2 linked regions of the Callithrix jacchus genome follow. The protein of the gene in region 1 binds, or shares a complex with, the protein of each later gene. Links are inferred from orthologs where the notes say so. Each region holds a gene or a part of one and is shown in the gene's direction. Other genes may lie near its edges. The genes, in order: TFDP1 and E2F1.

Evidence for each region.
Region 2: the proteins of TFDP1 (region 1) and E2F1 are in contact, whole or in part, in a crystal structure (PDB 2AZE), measured with the Homo sapiens proteins. The link is inferred for Callithrix jacchus from reciprocal best matches to the Homo sapiens genes TFDP1 and E2F1. Residues at the interface, in NP_009042.1 of Homo sapiens: Glu201, Cys202, Leu205, Glu206, Glu208, Arg209, Arg212, Leu213, Arg215, Ile216, Lys219, Gln220, Gln222, Leu223, Leu226, Ile227, Gln229, Gln230, Phe233, Lys234, Leu236, Val237, Arg239, Asn240, Arg241, Glu244, Pro251, Ser255, Val256, Ile257; in NP_005216.1 of Homo sapiens: Arg202, Leu203, Leu206, Thr207, Asp209, Leu210, Leu213, Gln214, Ser216, Glu217, Leu220, Asp221, Leu223, Met224, Ile226, Cys227, Thr228, Gln230, Leu231, Leu234, Asp239, Ser240, Gln241, Arg242, Leu243, Ala244, Tyr245, Val246, Thr247, Cys248.

The regions. Positions count from the first base shown.
Region 1 is NC_133502.1:29,108,428-29,112,964, forward strand, and holds the end of TFDP1 (transcription factor Dp-1), read left to right. Parts: intron 1-241; coding exon 242-320; intron 321-2,498; coding exon 2,499-2,646; 3' UTR 2,647-3,826; downstream 3,827-4,537. UniProt on the Homo sapiens protein: Can stimulate E2F-dependent transcription.
Region 2 is NC_133506.1:5,612,469-5,616,995, forward strand, and holds the start of E2F1 (transcription factor E2F1), read left to right. Parts: upstream 1-1,462; 5' UTR 1,463-1,581; coding exon 1,582-1,842; intron 1,843-4,527. UniProt on the Homo sapiens protein: Transcription activator that binds DNA cooperatively with DP proteins through the E2 recognition site, 5'-TTTC[CG]CGC-3' found in the promoter region of a number of genes whose products are involved in cell cycle regulation or in DNA replication.

The DNA.
Region 1 (4,537 bases):
ATGTGCTGTTTGTAAGTCAGTGTGTGCAGGTATTGCAAGGCTGTTCATGCCTTTTTAGGGAAGACAGGCTATGTGACTGCACAGCGGGATGTCCTCTGTGGCACAGTGCAGAAAATCCTGGACAAGTGAAGGATGTCTGGAAGCTTCCCCAGCTGTCCATCCTGCGGCACTGCGGGTTGTCTGTGTGTCTTGTGTTGTTTCTGTTTCGTGACCATTTGCTTCATTTTCTTTCCTTTTTCAGAAATGGCTCAGGGAACTGTTGGAGGTGTGTTCATCACGACAGCAGGTTCCACATCTAACGGCACGAGGTTCTCCGCCAGGTGACAGCGGTTGAGGGTGTGGGAGAAGCATTGTCTGGGCCTCCTGTGGGGCCCAGGGGCCAAGGCAGGGTGGACGTCTCAGATGTGGCCATCAGGTCTGAGGCTGCTCCGACGTGCTTGTCTTCCCAGGCAGTGGCCCCACCGGCTTTCCCTGTGTGGAGAGCTGCTTTTCCTAGTTGGTTTCTCCTCACTAAAAACTAAAAGTAATACGTGGTGGTTGTTTTTTTTTTTGTTAAAGTATCACCTAAAAAGTAAGTAGGAATGAAAACCACCCAAATCCTTCTGTCCCGGGCAGCCCAAATAACAGCAAGTATTTCTAGTTTTTTTCTCCTATTTTTCAGAACACGTCTGCGGTCACAGTGCATTTGTATTTCAGAACGCATTTGTAGTCATGGCGCATGTATTTTTCAGAACGCATCTGTAATCACAGCACACATATTTTTCAGAACGCATCTGCAGTTACAGTCCACGTATTTTTCAGAGCAGTCACAGTGCACATATTTTTCAGAATGCATCTGTGGTCACAGCGCACGTATTTTCCGAACATGTTTGTGGTCACAGTGCATGTATTTTTCAGAATACGTTTGTGGTCACAGTGCACTTTCTTTTCAGAACACATCTGTGGTCAGAACGCACATGTTTTCTTCCATGCATTTTCACCTTACATTTTATTGTATTTATATATATTATTTCTGTGCTATTAAAGGGCCTTTATTTAAATAAATTCGTATTTAATCTTTGACCTGCCATCCCATAGGGTAGAATGATGTCCCTAGGTATTTATCTTGGTGCTTCAAAGAGAAATATAGCTTTTACAACAGATATTAACAAAACAAAGATTTTATTGACTTTTATATTGCATTGTGATACAATATGTAGTATTACTTTATATTAATCCTAAGTGTTCATAAAATCTTTAATTGGAAATCTAAGAACTTAGTAACCTGTGGGTCCAGATAACAGGGCACGACGTAGTGAGTTGCAGTGCGCATGAGCCTGTGTTGGAATGTGCTGTGGCCGTGAGATGTGACAAGTGTGTCAGGGGTGCATGTAGCTTCCTGGCCAGCTCTGGGGTTACAAAGCCAGTCTCTTCCAGTCTTGGCCTCACCTGTAAGGTGAGACTGGTGATGAGTCGTTGATCTGTGGCAAGGATCAGTGAAGTGGTGATAGAAGAAGGGACTTGTCACAGTGCCTGGTAACAAGGTTTTGACCGAGGCCGGTTCTCTTTCTCTTCAGCTGTGTGTGAATGTGTAGGGGTCAGTCTGTAAACATGTTTAACACTGGTTCTTCCATGAGGTGAAATGTGGGTGTTTTTAGGACTTTCATCATCAGATAATCCTTTTCATGGATGTGATTCTCAGACTTGTCAGTTTTTCATAACAATGGAAACAAAGCTACTACCATTTCTTATGAAATACCAATTTTCAAAGTGGCATGATGGGACATTTTATGAAAGTACCTCATGAAAGGACATCTAGGCAGTTCCCAGTTATCAGGAAAACTACAGTGAGCAGCTTTGCGGCTGAATTTCTCACCATTTCTGACGTGTTTCTAAGATACAGAATCACTTCATCAAAGGCATATTGACTCATTTTCATTGTAGTTAATAAATACTATTAAAATATATTAAAATATATGCATATATTTTTATGCAGTTGGAAAACATTTTTAAATCTTGGAACATTGTGAGCTGTGATTAGTGGTAGGTTTTTGTGGTGCTGCAAACCCTCTGGGTTCCCAGTCCATGCTGCTAGATTCTAGCCGTGCTCTGGACTACATCCTGTCCTGCCCCAGGCTCTCTTTTTTTCCTGTTGCTGGTTATGAGTGAAAGTCCTGGAGGGAGGGATCTAACAGTTTTTCAGTTCATTGCCTCTGGGCACTGCTCCTGATGGAATGATGAGTGAGGGAGAGGGAGCTTGTGGCTCTGCTCAGCCTCCTATTTCTGGCATTGTGGATTCCAGGAGACAGGGTCCGAGGAGAACCAGACGGGGATGGAGTGAGTGCCAGAGTGCTGGCGTGCTGTAGTGCAGACACTCATGACCTCCCAGTTCTGTGTGTGTGACTGACAAAACTGACACCTGTTCGGCGCAGCCTGTCCTTCAGCCGCAGGCCCTGAGGTGAGGGGAGGCCGAGTGGACTGCTCTGCACTGACTGCCTCATCCGCCTCCTGCCTTGCAGTGACCTGACCAACGGTGCAGATGGGATGCTGGCCACAAGCTCCAACGGGTCTCAGTACAGTGGCTCCAGGGTGGAGACCCCAGTGTCCTACGTCGGGGAGGATGACGAGGATGACGATGACTTCAATGAGAATGACGAGGATGACTGACGTCCTCCCCACTTCAAATTCAGCTTCAGGAAAACGTTTAGGGAAAAGAAACTTTTTTTTTTAATGTGGGTTTTCTGTTTCCTTTTGGCCTACTCCCAAGAAGATATTGGTAAGCTATTGAATTTAGATATGCACCTCTGATAAGCAAGGGTTGTTTACCGTAGGATTAGGACGTGCTGTGGATGTGTGTTTTGATACCAGTGTGCTGATGCAGAGCGTTTATTTACTTTTTAGGATTTTGTGTTTTCATTTTTCTGGTTTTCTCTAAGTGCAGAGTTCAGTTTCGCCCCTGAACAGTTTTTGCTGAGTCTGCTGAAGAAATTATATTTCATCCACATCCATGAAAATAAAACACCCTCCTGTGGTGGATGGTGAGCACCTGGTGCCATTTATTTGCCGTGAGTCTGGACGGCACCCCCGCTGGTGGATAGCAGGACTCTGTGGATTGTTCCATTTGGTCAGTGGTACTGTGTCCAGAGCCCCAAGCAAACAGCAGAATTCGACTTTCTAAACAATAAACTTCATCAACCTTATTGACTTTATTTTCCCTTAAATTATATTGACTGTTGTGATTCCATCAAGCTTATCAACTCTTTTCTCTCCCTATTTGCAGCAACAAATTGCAAAGTGCTTTTGTTTGTTTGGTTAGGGCTTATTGCCACGCTGGTGCGGCTATGGAGACTGTCTGGAAGGCTTGGAATGGTTTATTGCTTATGGTAAAATTTGCCTGATTTCTTACAGGCAGCATTTGGAAACCTTTTATTATATAGTTGTTTACATACTTATAAGTCTATCATTTAAAAACATGTACTGAAACAAATGTTGTATTTGTTTCATAAGCATCTTCCTGTAATCTATTATAAAATTGAAATTAAATATAGAGAATGTTTTAACAATTTTTTAACTCAAAATTTGTCAATCATTTTTAATAGTTCTTTTTTTATAAAAAGGAAAAGGAATTTAAGGACAGGCAGTAGTCTCTTTTAAAGTTTATTCACAAAACCCATTAACTGCACAGTTGCTGTTAGCTGCCTGTTCTGAAATGATAGTCTTTTTATTGAAACACAAATAAACTTTTCTGTAATATTTTATGGAATATAAAGAGACTTTAATTGTTTGACTTGTTTAACTTGGCACTGTTAGTTTTTATTAATAAAACGCGCATGGGCATTTTGAACAAGCTGTGTTTCTCTAATTCAGGATTATTGTCTAGAAATTTGTCTGTCTTGTTGGTCTTACTTTATACTTGAGTGAGAAAGTAGGTTGTTATTAGGCCCAGACACAGTGCGTCCTGGTGGTCCCTGTGGGCACACCCCCCGACCAAATTTTGGTCAGAAGCACATCTTCCGGGAGCCCACCCTGAAGATGGAGAGTGGCCAAGGGTGGAGGTCTTGGATATAAGGAAAGGAGGAGGCACCTTTTTTGGTGCCTGTGGTGCAGAGAAAGATAAGCCAAGTTCCTTGGCTTTTTTTCACGATGAAAATTGAGACTTAAAAATGTAAAAGTTTGACTTCCAGAACAAGAATAAGATTGGGAGGCTTCTGGGAAGATGGTGGAATAAGGAAGCCAGGAATCTGACGTCTACTCCCAGGCAGGATCTGCTGGATGCAGCTGTTCTGTAACTACGGAATCTACCAAAGGCTTAAAGCTTACAAGGGAGCATATGGCAGTTAATTTTGGTCAATTTCAGCTTTCTACCCTACCCCTGTTCCTTCATTTTTCTCCTTCTCCTTCTGGGAGCCAGACATTGAAGACTAGGACGTACAAAAATAGCTGTGCCTATGGGGCTGCCCAGGGAGAGGCTCAGAAACGGCCTGAGAAGACCTTATGTTTACATCTCAGGCTGAACCATGGCACAGGTACAGCCTAGAGCTATTAAAAACACAATAAA
Region 2 (4,527 bases), on another chromosome or scaffold:
GGGCTAATTTTGTATTTTTAGTAGAGACAGGGTTTCTCCATGTTGGTTAGGCTGGTCTTGAACTCCGGACCTCAGGTGATCTGCCCTCCTCAGCCTCCCAAAGTGCTGGGATTACAGGTGTGAGTCACCGTGCCCCGCCATGCCTCTGGTTCTTTTATAACCTTTCTCAGTGCCTGCTCTGGGTCAGGCCAGTGTTGGGAGGAAGCGCTACTGAGCTTCTAGATTGGCAGGGGAGGCAGATGGAGAAATGTGTGGTCAGTGTTGGAACAGAGGCAGCAGTGGGCAATAGAGGAAGTGAGTAGATCCTTGGGAGGGGTCCCTAGAAGAAGTGATGTGTTTTGTTTTTGTTTTGTTTTAGAGACAGGATCTTGCTCTGTTGCCCAGGCTGGAGTGCAGTGGCATGATCATAGCTCACTGCAGCCTTCATTTCTCGGACTCAAGCAATCCTCCCACCTCAGCCTCCCAAGTAGCTGGAACTACAGATGGACACCACCACGCCTGGCTAATTTTTGTATTTTTTGTAGAGAAGGGTTTCACCATGTTGCTCAGGCTGGTCTCAAACTCCTGGGCTCAAGAGATCCACCCTGCCCGTTGATTATAGTGATTCCAGGCATGAGCCACCGCTCTGGACCAATGCTTCATCCTATTGTAAACGTCTGTTACCTCTCTGTCCCCTATCCAGTAGACTGTGAGCTCCTTAGGGCCACGAATTAAGGATGGGGGCACAGAGTTAAGGATGGGCACAGAGCAGGCTCTCCTGACGTTTGTTGAATGAGTGAGGGAATGAATTAGTTCAAGCAGACGCTTTACTTGGCCATTGTAGATTTTGGCTAAAATGGGACTTGCAGGAAAGCCCCAGGCTAATATCTGGCGGGTCGTCCCTCCTCATTTCCTGGTACCGCTCTTCAGCTTGGGCTTTGGGTGAGTGGGATAGGGCTGGGTGCAGGGTTAGGATAATGTCATGGGTGTGGTAAGTTGAGGATAGGAGAGGTGGCTGATGGCTGGGCTGTGGAACTGATGATCCCGAAAAGAAGAGGGGGCAGTTTCTGGAGATGTGGGCTGAGGTTGTGGGGGCTACAGGTTGAGGGTCGCGTGAACAGAGGCTCTGTCCTGAACCTGCACTATAGAAAGGTCAGTGGGATGCGGGAGCGTCGGGGCGGGGCCATGTTCCAGTGTCCCCACGCCTCCGGCAGGGGACGCTCGGCCTGGGGGCGGGGAGTCCGACCGCGCCTGGCACTGTCTGGACAAAGCCTGCGCGCGCCCCGCCCCGCCATTGGCCGCGCCGCCCCGCGCCGCCCCGCGCCGCCGCCCCATCCCTCCCGTCGCCGCCGGTCCGGCGCGCTATAGCCAATAGGAGCCGCTGCCGTCGACTTCGTCACGGCCCGGGCAGCCAATCGTGGCGGCGCTCGGCGGCTCGTGGCTCTTTCGCGGCAAAAAGGATTTGGCGCGTAAAAGTGGCCGGGACTTTGCAGGCAGCGGCGGCCGGGGGCGGAGCGGGATGGAGCCCTTGCTGGGGCCTGCCGCCATGGGCCCGCGCCGCCGCCGCCGCCTGTCACCCGGGCCGCGCGGGCCGTGAGCGCCATGGCTTTGGCCGGGGCCCCTGCGGGCGGCCCATGCGCGCCGGCGCTGGAGGCCCTGCTCGGGGCCGGCGCGCTGCGGCTGCTCGACTCCTCGCAGATCGTCATCATCTCCGCCGCACAGGACGCCAGCGTCCCGCCGGCCCCAGCTGGCCCCGCGGCGCCCGCCGCCGGCCCGTGCGACCCCGACCTGCTGCTCTTCGCCACTCCGCAGGCGCCCCGGCCCACACCCAGCGCGCCGCGCCCCGCGCTCGGCCGCCCGCCGGTACGGACCCCAGGGACGCCGCGCCGGCAGCACTGCCTGTGCCCCCTGAGCAGACCTGGGCGGGTGCTGTGTTTGGCCTGGAGGCGGCAGGGGGCGGGGGAGGGGTGGACTGAGGCACCCAGGCTGGGCGGTGCAGAGCCTGGCTTGTGCCTCCAGGCTCCGCCCTGGGGTGCGGGGTGACCTCGGGCCGGTCCCTGTTTGCTCCTCTGCTCTGGGCCTGAGCTTCCTCACTAAAGCCTCCCCAGCGTCGGACTCAATGATAATAATGGCCCACGTGTATTCAACTGGCGTTTATTGCACGCCAGGCCTCGGCCGACTTCAAGCCAGCTGAAACTCACAACCCTGCTGTAAGCCGTGTTGTCACTGTGCCCAGCTGACGGAGGAGGACTGAGGCCCAGAGAGGGACAGTGACTTGCCCCTGGTCACACGGCTGCAGGTGGCGGGGCTGGGATTTGAACTGCGGCCTGCTGGCTTCAGATCAGAATTTGCATCTCGGTAGTGAACACAGCTGCTAGGGGAAGTGAAGGCGGGGCGAGGAAGGTCCTGGGGCTTAACCGTTGGTGAGCCACTGAGGAGACCCTCCTTCCTGCCTCGATGCTGACTGCCAGGTGCAGGACTGGCCGGCCAGGCCTCTGGGGACAGCCCTCCTGGCTGGGAGGCCTTCTCTGCAGGGGCGGGGCAGCTGGACCAGCTGCTGATCTCCTCCCTCTGCCTGTCCTTCCATCTGCCACCCTCCACCCTCCCAGGCCCTGGTTGCCATGGAACCTCATTAATCAGACAGACAGACCCCTGAGCCTCTGTAGAAGAACTAGGTGGGCTGGGCCTCTGGGAGCTGGAGAGGAGGCCCCCAGTGCCAGGAGAGAAAATGTCCCAGGGAGATCCTTTAATAAAGCCGTCCCTGAGTGCTGAGCTCAAGACCAGTTCAGACGGGGCGGGGGGTGGGGGGGGGGTGGTGCCCAGAAGAGGTGGCTGAATTACAGTGGGAGAAGGGATTGGAGGCGTAGAAGCCTGGAGCTGGGACCTGTGGGCTGCAGTACAGGGTGTGGAGACCAGTTTGACTGGCGCAGCCTATGGGTGAAGGTGGGGCTCTGATGTGCAGGCAGGGGCTGGTCAAGCAGGATGGGGTCTCAGCAGGGAGCTTGGAGCAAGTGGGAGGGGTGAGGCAGGGCTTAGGACTAGGAGGTAGAAGCTGCCTAACTGCTGATGGGGGTGAGGGTAGCAGCTGGTCCCTGAGGCATCTAAAGGGGCTCCCCCACCCCCTTGGCCTCATGCCCAGTGCTGCCTTCCGGAATCACCACGATGCTAATAATAATAACAATAGCAGCCACCATTGTTTTGAGGATGTCTTATGTGCCAGGCTCTGCCAAGAGCTTTACCTAATTAACTCATTTAACCCCATCAGCAGCAATCCCTTTTTACAGATTGGGAAGCTGAGGCCTAGAAATACTAGAATCTTCCCATGTCATTCTGCTATTGAGCGGGGGGTTGAATCTGTATTTCCTGTGAGGTTGACCTCTGGGATGCATTGCTTTCTAGGGATGCTGATAGAGGCTGAAGAAAGGGCAGGAAGGGCTTTTGGGGGCCCTTCATCTTAATGAGTGGGTGGGAGGGGTGGGCCAGGTGGCTTGTCTCCTGTACTCCGGGGGTTTGTCCCTGTGGGTAGTGCTTGGGACCTGGGCAAGCATCCTCCATTCAGCTGTGTGACAAGCATATAGCAGGCTCAGGTCTGTGGAAACCTAACAGAACCTGAGGGTCTTGTCCTCAAGGAACTGAACAGGATTATGGATTCTAGGATCAGAAGGAGAAACGGGGCAAAGAAGAGTGCCCTCCACTCTACCTGTCAGGGGCAGGCTTATTGGCCCGGGCATTCCATTCATTCAACAGTTGTTGAGTTAGTGAATGCCTAGGAGGCACTAGGCTCAGAGAAAAGGAGCCCCACCCTCAGAGTCCTTCAGGGCCAGGAGGTGTTTTCTGTACTTAGGGGCAGGAGACTGGAGCTGAAGTCCAGAAGGTCCACAGGTTCGGCTTTTGGCCTCTCTGCACTGGCATTTGTCTGGCACAGTCCCTGGAATAAGCTACAGACTTAGCTTCTGTACCAGCAGGCATTCGTTGAACACTGTATACCAGGCTCTGTGCAATTCAGCCATTTCTCTTGGTCCTGCCTGTCCACTTCCACAAACTCAAATATTTTAAACATAATACATGTTTACTGTAGAAAACTTAACTGTTTTTTTTTTTTGGAGACAGAGTCTCATTCTGTTATGCAGGCTGGAGTACAGTGGTGTGATCAGGGCTCACTGCAACCTCCACCTCCGGAGTTCAAGATATTCTGTGCCTTGGCCTCCCAAGTAGGTGGGATTGCAGGCACATACCACCACACCCAGCTAATTTTTGTATTTTTAGTAGAGACAGGGTCTTGCCATGTTGCCTAGGCTGGTCTTGAACTCTTGAGCTCAGGCAGTCTGACTGTCTCAGCCCCTCAGAGTGCTGGGATTACAGGTGTGTGCCATCACGCCCAACTGAAAACTTAACTTTTTTTTTTTTTTTTTTTGAGAAAGAGTCTCACTCTGTCAGCCCAGGCTGGAGTGCAGTGGCGTGATGCAACCTCCACCTCCCAGGTTCAAGCGATTCTCCTGCCTTAGCCTCCCCAGTAGCTGGGATTACAGGTGCATGCCATGATGCGGC